Linked DNA regions of Caenorhabditis elegans. The protein of the gene in region 3 purifies or fractionates together with the protein of the main gene of each other region. This does not show direct contact. Each region holds a gene or a part of one and is shown on either strand. Other genes may lie near its edges. The genes, in order: Y43F4B.10, evl-18 and exos-9.

Region 1 (3,140 bases), 6.1 Mb from region 3:
ATGTGCCAATGGAAAGAATCGAAAAATGGATTACTAGAAAGGTTTTTTGGAGAAATTTCCATGAAAATTGGTCAAAATTCTTCAAAATTTCAGATTCCCGTCGATAAACAAACATTGTACATCTACATTGCCAGATATTCCGGAGTTATTTTGACTTGTAAGTTTCAAAAAAAAAATATTATTCGCAAAAATTATTTTTTTTTTCATTTTCCGTTTAAAAAAATCTAAAATTGACCTAAATATCGATAATTTAAGTTTTTTTGTTGCGGAAAAATTGTGTTTCAAAAATAATAATCAAATAATAAGTTTAGAAAAAAATCATAACAAATTTAGAAAATTTTAATAAATTTTTAAACAGTTATATTTGGTAAATTGAGACTTTTTCTGACATTTTTGATCAAAAAAATAAAATAATTGGTCTAAAAATCGATAATTATACATTTATTTAAACTTTTTTCGCAGAAAATTGTGTTTCAAATCGATAATGAAATAAAAATTGAGAGAATTTCGGTAAATCCAGACTTTTTCTGAGACATTTTGGAAATATACTATAAAAATTGCACATAAAAATCAAAGGTTTTTTTTCAGGTTGATATCAAATAATTAATTTAGACGAGAAAAAAATTATATAAAAATTTAGAAAAAAACTGATTTTTTCTAATTTTTTGAAAAAAAATTTCCAGGTGCAATAGCTGAGCTTATTCCTCATTTGGCTCTTTTCATCTCATTAATCGGAGCATTTTCTGGAGCTTCAATGGCTCTTCTCTTCCCTCCGTGCATTGAACTTTTGGTAGGAATTTTTGAATTCCAATTTTTTTAAATTAATTAAAAATGAAAAAAATTGAATTTTTTTCAGACATCCTACGCGAAAAACGAGTTGAGCACTGGATTATGGATCAAAAATATCGTTCTTCTCACTTTTGCCTTTATTGGATTCACAACGGGAACCTATAGTGCACTTATCGAAATTGCAAAAACTTTTGCATAGATTTAAATATCTATAATATTTAAATATTTTCAGCGTTTTAGCTGGAAATTCCCAGAATTTTATTGCACCTTTATGGAATTTTTTGGAATTTTTTTTTGTATATTTCGTGTCCTTCCTTGTCGGTTGTTCAATTTGTGATGATGATTTTTTCATATTTTTGCGGCATTTTTTTTTCATTTTCGTTTCATTCCCGAATAACATGTACTATTTATTTTGTTAATAAAATTCGAGCTTCTGTGAATATTTTTTATCGAATTTTTTGAAATATTATTTAAATGTGGTATCAATTTTAACCAATTTATTTAAATATCTCGATTCAATTTTATATTACCCAGCCGCAAAATTTTGCAATTTTCACACTAAAAATACGGTACCCGGTCTCACAACGACAATATTTTGTTAAATACAAACGGGCGTGCACCTTTAAAGAGTACTGTAGTTTCAAACTTGTGTTGCTGCAAATCATGAAATTCCGTACGTTTCAACAAAAGTTTGAAATTACAGTACTCTTTAAAGGCGCACACCTTTTCCGCATTTAACCAATATTTGCCGTGGCGAGACCGGGAAAACCGAAAAATTGGAAAAATGTTTAGAAAATTAACAAAAAAAACTATTTTTTATCAAATTTTATTTATGTTAATGAGAACAAATCATAAGAAACAGATAGTTTTTCTCTAAAAAGAGGAAAATTATATTTTTCCAAAAATCCTTTTTTTTTTCAAAATTTCGACAAAACAAAATTGTTTGGTTTTTCGATTTCTCAAAAAAAAATATCGTAAAAATAACCGCCAAAATCCTAAAGCAAATGTGCTCCATTGAAACGTGTTTTGAAAAGAGACGCAGAGAACGGTGGTGTTCCCGTTCTCTGTATTTTTATTGATTTCTCGCAGTAATTCATTCAACCTATTTTGTTTTAGAAAAATGGCGACACAAGAAGATCTTCAAACGCTTATCTCAATTGTGCCGAATCTTCAGGTAAAATATTTAAAAAAAAATCTAAATATACAATTTTAATTGAAAAAATAATGATTTCAGATGCAAGAAGGCACTCCTTATTACGAAGTTCTGCTCAAGTTGATCGAAGAAATCGGGAAAGACGTTCGTCCAACATATACATTCAATAAGTTGACCTGTGAACGGTTGAAGAGGAATATTCAAGCGGCAAAAGTTCTGATTAGGTAGGTTTTTGAGTTTTTTCGTCGATTTTCCACTCGAATTATAAGTGTCGATCAAATATTTGATCGTCATAATCGAGAAATCAATTGAGAGAAAAAAAATCATTTGCAGAGCGTGTCAACAAGAGGCCGAAACAGACAAAAAAAAGGCAGACGCTGCGATCGAAGCACAAAGAGTTGCGCAGAAATCAGAGACTCCGAAGCCTGAAGAGACATCATCGGAGGCCGCCTCGAAGAATTAATCTTGCTTTTTTATATATGTATTTCAAATTGTATTTATTTTTACCATTCCTGCAAACTGGAAACTTTAATTTTTTTGCTATAATTTCCATCACGATCCTCATGGGTTTTAAATTATTCCCAATATTTTTTCCATGAATATGTGTCTTATTCCAATCTCAATAGTTCACCAATGTATAGACTCGAAATTTGGCGGTTTTGGAGCCAAAACGGCGGTATTTGGTCTCGACACGACAATTTTTTGGTTAAATACAAACTAGTGTGCGCCTTTAAAGAGTACTGTAATTTCAAACTTTGGTTTTTGTAAAATTTTTATCGATTTCTTAACGTTATTCGTTAAAATAATACTTTATTTCTAAAAAACTGAAAATTCGATGAAAATTCCACATCACGAAAAATTTTGGAATTACAGTACTCTTTAAAAGCGCACACCTTTTCGCATTTAACAACAAATTGTTTCGTGTCGAGACCGGACACCGTATTTTTGACGAAAAATTGAAACATTTTACGTTTGAAAACCGCATTTTTAGTAAATTTTCAAAATTACAAATTTTTTGAGCTCATTTAAATGCGATCAAAAAGTGTGAAGCTGTCAAATCGCCCAGCATTTGCTCGTCGGATACCATCAGAGGACACATCACGTGCTTGCGTATCCACGTATCTTCTCGATACATCTTCAGACACTCGATCCGGCTCACTGTGCATTTTGAAGATTGATGAAGCCGACGGGCTACAGT
Region 2 (7,941 bases), 3.5 Mb from region 3:
CAAGTACACTTTCCTAAAATAAATACTAATGTTAAGCCTTAATTAATTTTTTTTGTTTTCAAGGAAGTAAGAGTCTTTGAAAACCAATATCTCAAAAATTGCAAACATTTTTCGGCGCCAAAACTTACGTGTGTATCGAAAAATGGGTCAGAGTGTCGGAAAATGTGCCGACGAAGTTACACTCATCGCCCCTCCGATTTTTCATGAACCGACATCTGAAGAAGTTTTTATTCTGTTCATAACTATCGGTTCTGCAAAAAAGCTATTTTTGTTGATGAAATATTCGCATTACTCACATTAATGCCTTAATATAAGGTTCCATATGCCGCCGTCAATTGATTGAGCTGAAAATTAGAATTGTGTTGAGAGCATATAAGGAAAAAAGAAAATTAAGACGGAGAATTGTGCAACTGAAAATATTCGAGAGGACCCTATTGTACACGTGGCATATCCATAAATATGTGCCACGAGCTGGGGAGCGAGGTTAAGGTCACGTTAAACATTTTATTAATTCGAATTTATATGGCAGGTTTCATAAAATTAAGTTGTTTTTCTCTTATATCCTAGACTTTTTAATAAGGTAAAAATCGACGAATTTGTAGCTTCCTTTAAAAATTAAAAATGTTATAGTAGATTACAAAAATGGCCAGAGTAGAGCGCATGTATGAATATTCAATGGTGGCGTCCGTGTTTTGTGTAAAATATTCTCATTGTGTACAATATTGTAGGAATACACTCAAAACAAATAGTGTTGCCTCGACATTTGCAATTTGAAAGTGTTACAGCACCCTTTTGATTTTATGAATATAGAAAAAATGTGCGAGAAAAATCAACGAGCGTCCCCGATTTGCCAATAAATCGTGGCAAAAAGGAAGAAAAACGAATAGATACGTGGTATGAGCGGAAGGAAGAGTTCGTTCGTCCTTCCAAAATAAACTGAGCTTTCTCTCTCTTCTACTCGGTTTTTATACCCGCTTTTTACGGGAGTGGATGGGCGGTGTGAAGCCAAGTGACGCGCCGCCGGTGCGTCACATGGCTTTTCCCAGTAACACGTGGTCTAGATACGAGCGGCTGCAGGGAACAAAGAAACATGCCAGGAATTCAATTAAATGCATTTGAAACCGGAATTTTCCGACCAAAAATTGTTTAAATTATTGAAAACGACAGAAATTAAATATTTGAATTTCGCCTAAAACAAAACAAAACATTTTCGTTGCGAGACCCACAACTCCAGAAAATGCGTGCTCCTTTAAACTAATTTCGCTTTTTCAACTGAATTAGCTGAATTTTGTGAATAATCAAAGAAAATAAGGAGGACTCCTTCCCCCGGAGGGTATTTGAGAGAAAAAAACAAAAAGTTAAATACAGTAACTGAAAAAACTCAATAAACGTAGATATTTAACTTACGAAAGAAAAACCTCCTCGCCTTGAATGTAACCTACGCGTGTCTGTGTTCATAAAATCCTGATGTGTATTTATTCATATTATTTTCTATGAGTTTGAAATTGAAATACAAAAATTTGTAAATATTGTATAATATTTACATTTCTGACCAAATCTACTCAATCCTCCTCCCCGTTCACCGCGTGCGCGATGACGTCTTCTCCAAACACTCCAGATGACGTAACATACCACCATTCTGTCATTCAGCAACAGCACATTATTATTTTCAATTGAATTGCCCACTTTTAGATTTATTTCTGTAGATTTTTCGGTTTTCAATTCAGTTTTTGCGAGAAATCGAGAAATGCAATTGCGCCCTGCCGCACTCTCAACGCGCGAAGCCATTAATTTGAAACGAACGCATCTTTTTTCACACTTTTCTGGTGATTTTCTCGAGATTTTTTGCTTATTATCTTTTTGAAATTAATAAAAAATAATTTTAAATCAATATTATAAATTTCAGATGATCATCGAAGACAACTTTCGGCAGGAATTCTACAATAAAATCAAGAAAGGCGATAAAGTGAGTTTAAAGTCATTTTTACTCCATTTTCACGTTATTTCTGCTTCAGAGTGTGGTTCTAATCGTTTCAGTCGACACGGATGCATTATGCACGACGATGATTTTGACGGTAATAATGCAATTTATTTATAAATCAATGATTATTTATTTTCTTTTGAACGGAGTAAAGTCTCCGCGTGAGATCGACAAAAATTATTCCACAAAAGATCCAAAATGGGATGAAATAGACAATATATGGAATTGAAAGTGCAAATGTCAGCCGAATTGCGATGAGAACCTCGAAAACCACTTTGCAAGTGATGCATACTGAAAATCGATTTTTTTTATTCAAAAAATATATTTATTTTCGTACTAACCGAACTGTCCTGTGTAAACATTATTGAATGGATACAAAAAGTTCCAGAAAGCGCGGATTCCGAGGTTTTGCTGTCCATTTGTGCGTAATTCGGAGTAAATGTTGTAAAAGAGCACTCCGAAGCACGCAGCGTCTGTGGCAAAAACTATAAGACAAAGGAAAATGTACTGTTTGTCGCCACTTGAATTATCCTGGAATTATTGTCTCCGGTTTATTGAAAATATTTCAATTTATCTTTCATTTCTGCTCACCAAAAACAGAGCCAAACAAATCGTGGTGGCAAGAAGGTCAAGGAAGACACAGATCGCTTTTTGACCCGATAAAAGTCGCATATTCATAAATGAACTCAATTTTATTCACATAATATTGAGAAAAATAGTCGATGGAGACAATAAGAGGGGGAGGGTGCAGAGAAAGAGAAGCGTACGAGAGAGCGCGGTTGCTGTGAGAGCATTAGATAGAACAATTATTCAAATTTCAGCATCTGCTACGCTGTGATGACATCCCATTCTCGATTCTTGCAGTGGAAGGATGGAGCTCGGTGGAGAAGATTTTTGCAGATTCACAAGAGCAAAGTATGTGAGAGAGTCGAAATATCCCCAATTTTTAATTAAAAAATAATTCCGTCACCGTTACCACACGGAAAAGTGGCAAAATTGGAGTAAAAATACAGTATCCGGTCTCGATACGAAAGATAGTACTGTAATTTTGAGCTCCCGTTTTTGCGCAATTCATATCGATGTGTTAGATTTATGTGATTTTATTTTTTAATATATAGTGTTTTTTTTAAAATAAACACATATTTTTAACGAGAAAACTATGAAAAATCGATAAAATTGCTCATCAACGAAAGTTTGAACCTACAGTACTCTTTAAAGGCGCACACTTTTTCGCAATTAGCAAATATTTGTCTGTCGAGATCCGGCGGAACTCTATACCGCCATATCAATTTCTAAGAAGTTTTATCACAATTTTCGGAATTTCGGAGCAAGATTTCCGCTGTTTCCTTTAATAAATTGATAAAAAAACATTTTTTATTACATTTTTATTACAGAATGTCATTATATCCTAATCAATTGCGGAGCAACACGATCCCTGACACGACTACAAATCCCGCCGGCTTCAATAGCATTTGTCATTGATTCTCATCGACCATTTCACATTGAGAATGTCTATGAAAATGGTCAAATTCATTTATTGGCAAATCCAAGTGAAATGAGCGAATTGCAAATTCCTGATCTTGAATCTGTGATTCGAGAGGATTCTGACGATGAAGAAGATTCAGATGAAGATGAAGATCAAGAGTACATCTCATATGAACAACGAATGGAAAAGATTCGACGGAAAGCGATTAAGAGGGAAGAAATGCAAATATGGGAAAGGCAGAGGAGGACAATTCTCTGGAGATACTACGAATCGACGTGGTTCAGCTCGCCGAGCTGTGTGACTTTACTCGAGATGGCCGCAGAAATGAACAGAGTATCTGCTGAAACTATGTGGTTTACTGCGGTCGGGTTGAATAGTGCGATGGCTGATAAATTGGTAAGTTTTAGGTGTGAAGGCTTTGAGCGAATCAAAAATTTCGGTTTCCTCTGAAAAATATCGAAAAAAAATTTTATGACGAAAGAAAAACATCGATTTTTGGCTCAAAAAATGATGCAATTTATCGGATCGATCTTTAATTTCAGGAAAATACGATGGTACAGTAGTTCTTAAAGGCGCATACTCTTTCAAAATCCAAAAAAATCGTGTAGAGACCAAGTTTTTAGGGCAAAAAATGGTATTTTTGGGTTTTTTCAAAAATAATATAATCCAGACACAAAATTTTGCGATTTTTGCGCCAAAAATACGGCGCCCGAGGTATTGACAACTGCTGAAAGATGTGCGCCTTTAAAGAGTACTGTAGCTTTAAATTCTCGTTGTTGCGAAATTTCATCGTTTTTGACAAATTTTTGAATGAAAAAAAAAATTGAATACATTTTTTATCAAAAAAAACTATAGATAATCGATGAAAATTCCGCGACAACGAAAATTGAAAGCTACAGTAAACTTTAAAGACGCAGACATTTTTATATTCCACACAAAGGTGTTGTTTCGAGACCTATAGCATTTCAAATTGATTAATAATTATGTTAAAACACCCCAAAAATCTACAGATTTTGAACAATTTTCAGTAAAAAAATTGGCAAATTACCAATTATCGCTAAAATTGCACTATTACACAATTTAAAAAGCCATAAAACAGTATTTTATACAACTTTTTTTCAGATCTCAATTGAAATGTACACCCAAATCTGTGTAGATCGAATGCGTCCGTTTGTCCATCGATTTATGCCAAAAAATATAGTGAATCAAGGAAAAGTGGATGATCTCTTGCATATTACATTTGGCCGAGAACTACCACTTGCTCTATATTCACATTGGGATTTGTTCAGTGCAATGATGGTCAGCGAGTATTTCTCGATTAAAACAAAAAATTGGACACAAAAAGGAGATGTGAATATTCGACATTTACTTGCTCAACTTGGAATCACTCTTCACGAAACAAAACAAAAATTCGAAGCTCTTCCAACGGAGCAACGGAATTTGGTGGTTGATGTTCTGGAAAAAGAAATGGATTCATCGTTTGCAACATTTTTTGGAACTCTTGGATATTGTGGGAAGTTGAGTGCATGTGATGTTGCAAGAGCTGTCACTTTACGATTGGAAATGCCGAAAAGTGAAACTGTAAGGGTTTTTTTTTGTAAAAATTTATATTTTTAGCCATTCTCTTCCAATATTTTAAATTAAAATTCAGTGATAAAGTATAGAAAAATATTTAGTTTATCTGAAAATAACTATTAATTTACTTGGAACAACTGAAAAAGTTCTCAATAATTCTCTGATTTTTTCGAGCAATTTTCAACTTTCAGATAACTTTTTGCACTCTTTAAACAATTAAAAGTGCTGAAAAATTATCTGGAAGTTGAGAACTCTCGGAACAAAATCTACCAGCTTTTAGACAATTATTTGAGCATTTCTCCAATTGTTCCAACTGAAATAAAAGGTATTTTCAGATAAATCAAATATTTTTTCTAATATTCTGAAATGCCAAAAAATAAAAATATATTATTCCAGATAATGAATCGTTTCCGATCCGGTCAATCAATCCTCAGATCATCAATAACTGGAGAACGACAAGATCGCCTGAATCTCAACAACACGTTCACTTCGATCTGCCAACGAACGCTTCAAGTGTCGTGGAAAACCGTCGCGGCGGCTATTAATCAATCGGAGATTATTCCAAATGGGCCGTATTATCTATTCTCGTGCTCACGGTCCATTGGTACGGATTTTAGAATCATTTGGAAAAAGTCAAATCGGAGAAAATAAAAACTCGATTTTTAAGCATTTTATTAGCATAATCAGAAGATGAAGTTCGATGGGGTCATGTGTTGTGGCTCGGCTATCACTTGGCTCCGCGAGTAGATCCACCAGTTGATTTTCCAGATGCTTCCTCAGCGACGCGAGCCTCTCTCTGTAATTTATTTTTGATGGGAAAATTAGTTGAAATTTTGAATTCAGAAATCCTCAAAGCGGTTTTTGAAAAAAACTCAAATTCGAATTCCCGCAATTTTTTTGATTAAATTCTGAATTCCCCGAGAAGCTAATGTTTCCAAATAACAAAATGCTTACCTTTGCAACCTTGCAAGCTCTGGCATGAGCCATTCTCTCCACCTGCATCTTCTTCTTCATTCGCTTTGGCATCAATTTCTTTGCGGCAGCCATTGCAGACCTTCTTCACAAGTTTCGATAACTAGAACTAACGAGAACTGATTTTGTTTCAAAAAGTTGAAGGAGAGTGGGAAATAAAAAAATCAGGCTTCACGTTTCTCGCGTCATTTGTTTTGAATTTTTTAAATAATTTCTTTTGAACAGATTAATTTTTCGCGTGTAAAAATCTTTTTGGACATCTGCTCTTTTGGTCTGGGGTCTTGGTTGGGGTTTTCAGAGAAAATCAGAAATTTTGAAAATTAATAAAACATTAAATTTTTAAATCAAATTTTGTTGATGTTGATGGGAAAAAATTGAAAACTAGTGAGAAAATTTAGTACTTTTATAGTCTAAAAAATATATTTCCAGACGAGGATATGGTCGACTCACGTCATTTTCTCTACAACACCGCCGGATTCATGATTCGCGCCTTTGCCTCAATGAAGAAAGGACGTACAACAAAGCCGCTAATCGCAATGTTCCCATTGACTGGAGAGAGTGCTGGATGGCTTGTAGTCACTGGAGTTATGCCGATTGCCACAATTTATGAGGATTCACTACTTAAAACGTAATATTCGGCCTGTAATTTTAACTTTAAAATTGATTATTTTCAGGTGTATTGGTCGTGCTTTCGAACGAGTAAAGAAAATGACTCCACCACTTCGTATCGTTGATGACTACTTTAATTCTGATATTATTCGCTTGAAATCTGAAGATCGTACTCGTTTTATTGATTTTCTGCAGACTGTCTTTGAGGGCACATCCAACTGATCTCTTACAGGCGTTTCTACCTATTGCACCATCTTGTTCCAATGCTTTTAATGAAAAAAAAAGTCTTAAAATATAGAGCATTACTTAATTTATCGGAAAATAGCTGAAAATGGCTTGGAAACTGCCATTTTTAGGCGATTTTCCTGCGTTTTCTGTGATAAATCAAGTGATTTTCTATATTTTGACACTAATTTTTAATGAAAAACATGGTGCATTAGGCTATTTTGTAGAATTGCCTCCTACTGTTATAATGTTCAATCTTTCTCATACACGGGCACACTGACTTTCCGAGTTTAATTTTTATTATCAATTTCTGAAATTATTTCCCCTATTTACTTCTCCACTTCTCATTTCATTGTCACATATTCACTTTATTTTGATCAGTTTTCACGTGAACATATTGTAATTTTTTTTCTGATGATGATTTTTTTCTGATGATTGATTAAATCAACTTCCAACTTCTTCAAACTAATTTATTTTATATTTTATCTAGTCTCAAATTTACGCACTTATCATTTTTCTACTCGAAAATGTCTACGCATAAGGTATGTTCGAGTTGGCCGATTTTCCTGATTAATTGAGGATTTTCTAGCAATCATATTTTGTGAGTTCAACACCGAATGGTCTTGATGGAGCTCAATATCTTGCTGTAAATCGTGATGGAAGTGTTCTTTATGGTCTTAAAGTTCGCATCGTATTGAGCATAGTTGAAGCTCCGGAACAAGCTCCAGAAGTCATCACTACAGCAACTGAAAAGTCTATCTGCAAATACCACGTGGCATCCGGAAACACAAAAACGTTCCAACTTGACGACGATATTGATCCGCTTCTTCTCGCTCGAATTATTGAATTTTATATGATTTCGGATAATATTGTCGCGCTGATTTCTTACGATTCAGAGCATTTTCAAGTTATACAGACACTTATTCATCTGGAACATTCGAAAGAATGGGCTCAGACGATTGTCGTGAGAAGATTGACTATTAGCAGAATGTCTGGGCCCCCATTAGTTAGTGAGTCAATCGGTTTTTTATCTGAAAAATGCCTCTGATTCTGACGAATTTGAATTGACCTCTAAGCCACGCCCACATTTCCG
Region 3 (3,985 bases):
TTTGCGTCAAACATACGGTACCTGGTCTCGACACGACTAAAATTTATTGAAAAGGGTGTGCGCCTTTAAGGATTACTGTAATTTTAAAATCTCGTTGCTAAGCTAATATATTTATAATACGAAAAATTTAGGAAATTTTCGTAGCTACGAAAGTTTAAAATTACAGTAATCTTCCAAGGCGCACAGCATTTTTAAATTACAAAACCTTGTCTTATCGAGACCGGTACCGTATTTTTTGAACAGAAATCGCAAAATTTCGTATCAGCGTATTAAGAGACCACCAGTTCATGAGAATGCCTACTTTCTGGCACGAAAGTAGCGGAAGCAGAGAGCATGCGGCGAAGAGAGATTTAGGTGCCTTCGCTACGAGATATTAAAACAACGGTAGGCATTCTCATGATCTCATGGTTTCTTAATAATATAAATATTGCATTGGTTTTTTTCTCTATCTCATGTCAATCTCTGTTCAGGAATATTTAGCTGCTAAATGTCTTATTCAACTGAATCCCGTACTTCCCGAATGAAACTTTAAACGATTCATAAACACAACAAGGCAACATTGCGAACAAATAAAAATGGGAAGGAATGAAAAAGACAACAAATTAAAGAAATTAGCGGCATCTAAACTACTTCTTCTTTTTCTTTTTAGCATTCACGAGGCTATCTTCGGCATCTGGAGCTTCTTCCATTGGCACGTCGTTCAATACTGTTTCGGATCCCAGTGTCATTGTTTGAACTTCTTCCTCCTCGTCGTCATCGTCGAGTCCGTCAAGAAGATCGTTGACTTCCTCTACTTCGCGCTTAAACAGTAATAAATAGTAAAAAAATGTTTAAATAAAATCTTAATTTCACAAACCTTTCGGCTGGAAACTGCAACAGTCTGCTTCTCAGTCACTTCAACTTGTCCAACACTATTCTGAATAGTTGTAAGTTGCTCGGCGAGCAATGTCTCCTCATCAACATCTTCTTGCTTGACTGATCCGACACTCAATGGATTCTCATTAAGAATAACACTTGGTTGGTAGAGACTTCTCTGTGTGAACGACTCAGGCTCAGTTTTGATTACAGGAGCACGAATTTGACGAGAAGCTGTAGTTCCAGCTGTGAGAATGAGTGATGGAGTGGTGATTGCAAAACCATCCGGACGTTTGAATGCGCTTCTGAAATATTTTACAATTGAATAATAATTTCAAAATTTGAAAATCTAATGTTACCTTTCAATTTGATCCTGTTTAATGACGTCACTAACAACTGCAGTGAGCGCTTCCGCACGAGCCATTGCCAACTTTACGCAACGCTCGATCTTAATAATTTTAAAGTCATATTCGAAAATTTGAAATGCGAAATTGAATACCTGCTTTGTTGATAAAATGAGATTTGTGCTCTGATGGAGGGCACAAACTTCGCGACGCTTATTGCAGGCAACTACAATTGATCCATCAAGACATGCAGTTTCTTTATCTGTTGGATCGATGACTACAATTTGTCTGAAAATTAAAAATTAAAATGAATTTGTGACAGAAATCAAACCCTTTATCCAATAATCCGATGGTTGTACAAATTGGCATATGGTAAATGTTCAATGGAACTGGTGCTTTTTCGTATTCCGAATACTGAAATTTGTGATTACTTAAGAACTTTAAAAAAATTCAAACTCACGATAAGAGTGTGATGTGGTTCCAAAGTGACATTTGGTCGTCTAAAATGCTGAAGAGCTGTGATAGCAGCGAGACAAGCACAATCAAGAAGACTTCCATCTTCGTCAAGAATTCGGACATCTACTCGAATTTTCCAAATTTCTTTTCCAGCGCGAATGCAGAGAGCCTGGAATTTATTTTTGTAATTTAAGTTCTCTACAGCTCAATTCACCTCAACATCAATACACCGAGAATCACGAATAATAAGCTCCAATAGACGAATCAGTTCCATTCCTTTGCTCCCGAGACGGTCATGCTCATTGGCTAAAAAAAGGATAATTGTTAATCAAAAATAGGAATCTAACCATAATTAGCCATTGGACTCAAATCAACGTCAATATTAATAACTCCTTTGTGTGGTCTCATTGACGATGGTTCAGCGATTTCGGCACTTACTGCAGCCATTACTCTGAAAATTCAAAATTTATGACTATAAATAATAAGGAAAAACTAACGAACTTTGTATTTCCAATAGTGCAAATTGCAGTTCCAACTTCTGCTCCGACCACTAACTTCACATCCCGAAATTCTTCCAGACTACGAAAATCAAATCTCTGAAAAAAAAATTAAAAATAAATCCAATGAAACCAGTTTACTTTTCCAATTTTCAGCGCCTCTAATATCACAGCCTTCTCGCAGTTTGTCACCGGTTGAACTCTCATTACTTCTGAAGTTAGATTTTAAAGTAATTATTTTTTCGAACTGTAAGTACTCAAGGCGTTTGAACGCGAACCACTAGCTAGAATACAAAAAAGAAGCAAGAAACATATTATTTTGAACAAGAATCAATGCAAGGTGTAGTATTAAAATCGAAAATTGATAACAACAATTTGAATATCGGAAAAGCAAGAGATTTTCAGAAGTAGATTTCTCGGCAGACATTTATTGTGTATTCATCGTGGCGAGTTGAGACTGAACCTTGGTCTGGAATGCGTCCGAAATATAGGCCCGAGTTCTTCGCTTCTCTTTCAGAATTCCCTCAACTGTCTCAACCTGATATAAATAAGATTAAATACTCAAGTAAGACACTTTCGATGTTCGTACCTGCTTTGTAATATGTTCCTTTTTACGGTCAAAAATTGCTTTGGCTTTCTCGCGGTCCAGCTCCACGAAGTATCCAGTTCCGATCTCCACCAAATGCTTTGATGGATCAGATAGTTCAGCACGGATGTAGAGCTGAATAATCATTAATTATTAAAAAAGTACAATGAAAATATACCGATTCAGAAAGTGGAATGAGAGCTGTATGTCCTGCAGTTGCAATTTTCACATCGTCCAAAGCAGAAATACTTTTTTCGTTCCGCGTTAAAAGACCCTGCAAATATTTTTATTAATTTGAAAAACAAATACGAAATTCAACAAACTTTAAGAGCATTGAAAGACTCCTGGAAGAAGTTTAATTCTTGTTCGCAATTCTTCTGGAGTTCTCCGAGTTGTTGCAAGCTGAGCTCTGACAGCGGTACTCCTTTCGGTTCTTCTGCCATTCTAAAATTATTTATAATTATTAAAGAAGAATATTTATAACAATCTTTATTGAAATTATGATCTAAAAATGGATAAAAGGATAATGAAAAAATAAGCATTAAAAATCGGTGAAATTTTCTCGAATTGAACCATTGGCCTAGAAAATTCAAATGTGCGCGGCCACGGCCACTGTTGGCGGTAATTCAAAAATAATATTTTAAGGAAGGACGAAAAGTAGATTTTTGCTCTATTCATCAAAATATATTGAAGGTGTTTTTTTTTTAGAAAAATTAATTGAATAATATTTTATGGAGATTCCAACCAATTAATACCGATTTTGTAACTTTTATTTGAAGACATTTAGCTCCAACACCAGACTTTTCTCCTTTGTTTCCCTGCAATGTTGTGTATCTTCTTGAGGGTATTCCCCGATTTCGCCTTCACTTTTTTATTTGTTGAATCATAAAAAAATTCCGGTGTATAATAAATTAGACTGGGATACTTTGAACTATTAGTTCGAAAATCAAACATCATTTGCAGTTTGGAACTTCTTGGCGGATCTGTTTCATTTGAAAAAGGCATAACTGAAATACAACATTTTTTGGAAAGGTAAAGCTACTACAACCCCTAGAATTCTATAAACTCACAAAGATCCCTTCATAAAATTGTTTCCTTTTTATAGACGAATCTTCTCGAAGTGGAAAAGTTGTTTTGAACCTTCAAAGATATCACTTTCATCTCCTTATCATTCAATTTCCTTTTCTCTAATCTCTCTAATTTTTCCAATTATGTCTCAAAATGATAACGTGAAAGAGACTTTCAAA

Evidence for each region.
Region 1: the proteins of exos-9 (region 3) and Y43F4B.10 fractionate together in Caenorhabditis elegans (co-fractionation; one large-scale study listed by BioGRID). This does not show direct contact.
Region 2: the proteins of exos-9 (region 3) and evl-18 fractionate together in Caenorhabditis elegans (co-fractionation; one large-scale study listed by BioGRID). This does not show direct contact.

What each region holds. Positions count from the first base shown.
Region 1 is NC_003281.10:13,312,163-13,315,302, forward strand, and holds Y43F4B.10 (uncharacterized protein), read left to right. Parts: upstream 1-1,905; 5' UTR 1,906-1,909; coding exon 1,910-1,963; intron 1,964-2,023; coding exon 2,024-2,166; intron 2,167-2,275; coding exon 2,276-2,405; 3' UTR 2,406-2,559; downstream 2,560-3,140. Other genes in the region: slc-36.1 (Amino acid transporter transmembrane domain-containing protein), read left to right, coding at 1-41, 94-157, 684-790, 857-988; dph-7 (methylated diphthine methylhydrolase), read left to right, coding at 2,972-3,140.
Region 2 is NC_003281.10:3,729,005-3,736,945, reverse strand, and holds evl-18 (Cell division control protein 45 homolog), read left to right. Parts: upstream 1-1,906; coding exon 1,907-1,966; intron 1,967-2,015; coding exon 2,016-2,075; intron 2,076-2,094; exon of another isoform or gene 2,095-2,099; coding exon of another isoform or gene 2,100-2,272; intron 2,273-2,322; coding exon of another isoform or gene 2,323-2,512; intron 2,513-2,572; coding exon of another isoform or gene 2,573-2,653; exon of another isoform or gene 2,654-2,691; intron 2,692-2,802; coding exon 2,803-2,896; intron 2,897-3,375; coding exon 3,376-3,863; intron 3,864-4,589; coding exon 4,590-5,048; intron 5,049-5,438; coding exon 5,439-5,646; intron 5,647-5,697; exon of another isoform or gene 5,698-5,769; coding exon of another isoform or gene 5,770-5,838; intron 5,839-5,996; coding exon of another isoform or gene 5,997-6,089; exon of another isoform or gene 6,090-6,171; intron 6,172-6,443; coding exon 6,444-6,642; intron 6,643-6,688; coding exon 6,689-6,845; 3' UTR 6,846-7,306; downstream 7,307-7,941. Other genes in the region: F34D10.4 (C2H2-type domain-containing protein), read right to left, coding at 1-13, 129-251, 297-322; F34D10.3 (Serpentine Receptor, class E (Epsilon)), read right to left, coding at 2,100-2,272, 2,323-2,512, 2,573-2,653; F34D10.8 (uncharacterized protein), read right to left, coding at 5,770-5,838, 5,997-6,089; F34D10.9 (CPSF_A domain-containing protein), read left to right, coding at 7,376-7,390, 7,438-7,858.
Region 3 is NC_003281.10:7,195,703-7,199,687, forward strand, and holds exos-9 (Exosome complex component RRP45), read right to left. Parts: upstream 2,365-3,985; 5' UTR 2,360-2,364; coding exon 2,294-2,359; intron 2,252-2,293; coding exon 2,157-2,251; coding exon of another isoform or gene 2,153-2,156; intron 2,107-2,152; coding exon 2,003-2,106; intron 1,962-2,002; coding exon 1,870-1,961; intron 1,825-1,869; coding exon 1,660-1,824; intron 1,614-1,659; coding exon 1,531-1,613; intron 1,488-1,530; coding exon 1,355-1,487; intron 1,304-1,354; coding exon 1,215-1,303; intron 1,161-1,214; coding exon 857-1,160; intron 801-856; coding exon 627-800; 3' UTR 523-626; downstream 1-522. Other genes in the region: pfd-5 (putative prefoldin subunit 5), read right to left, coding at 2,580-2,690, 2,742-2,873, 2,917-3,012, 3,062-3,181.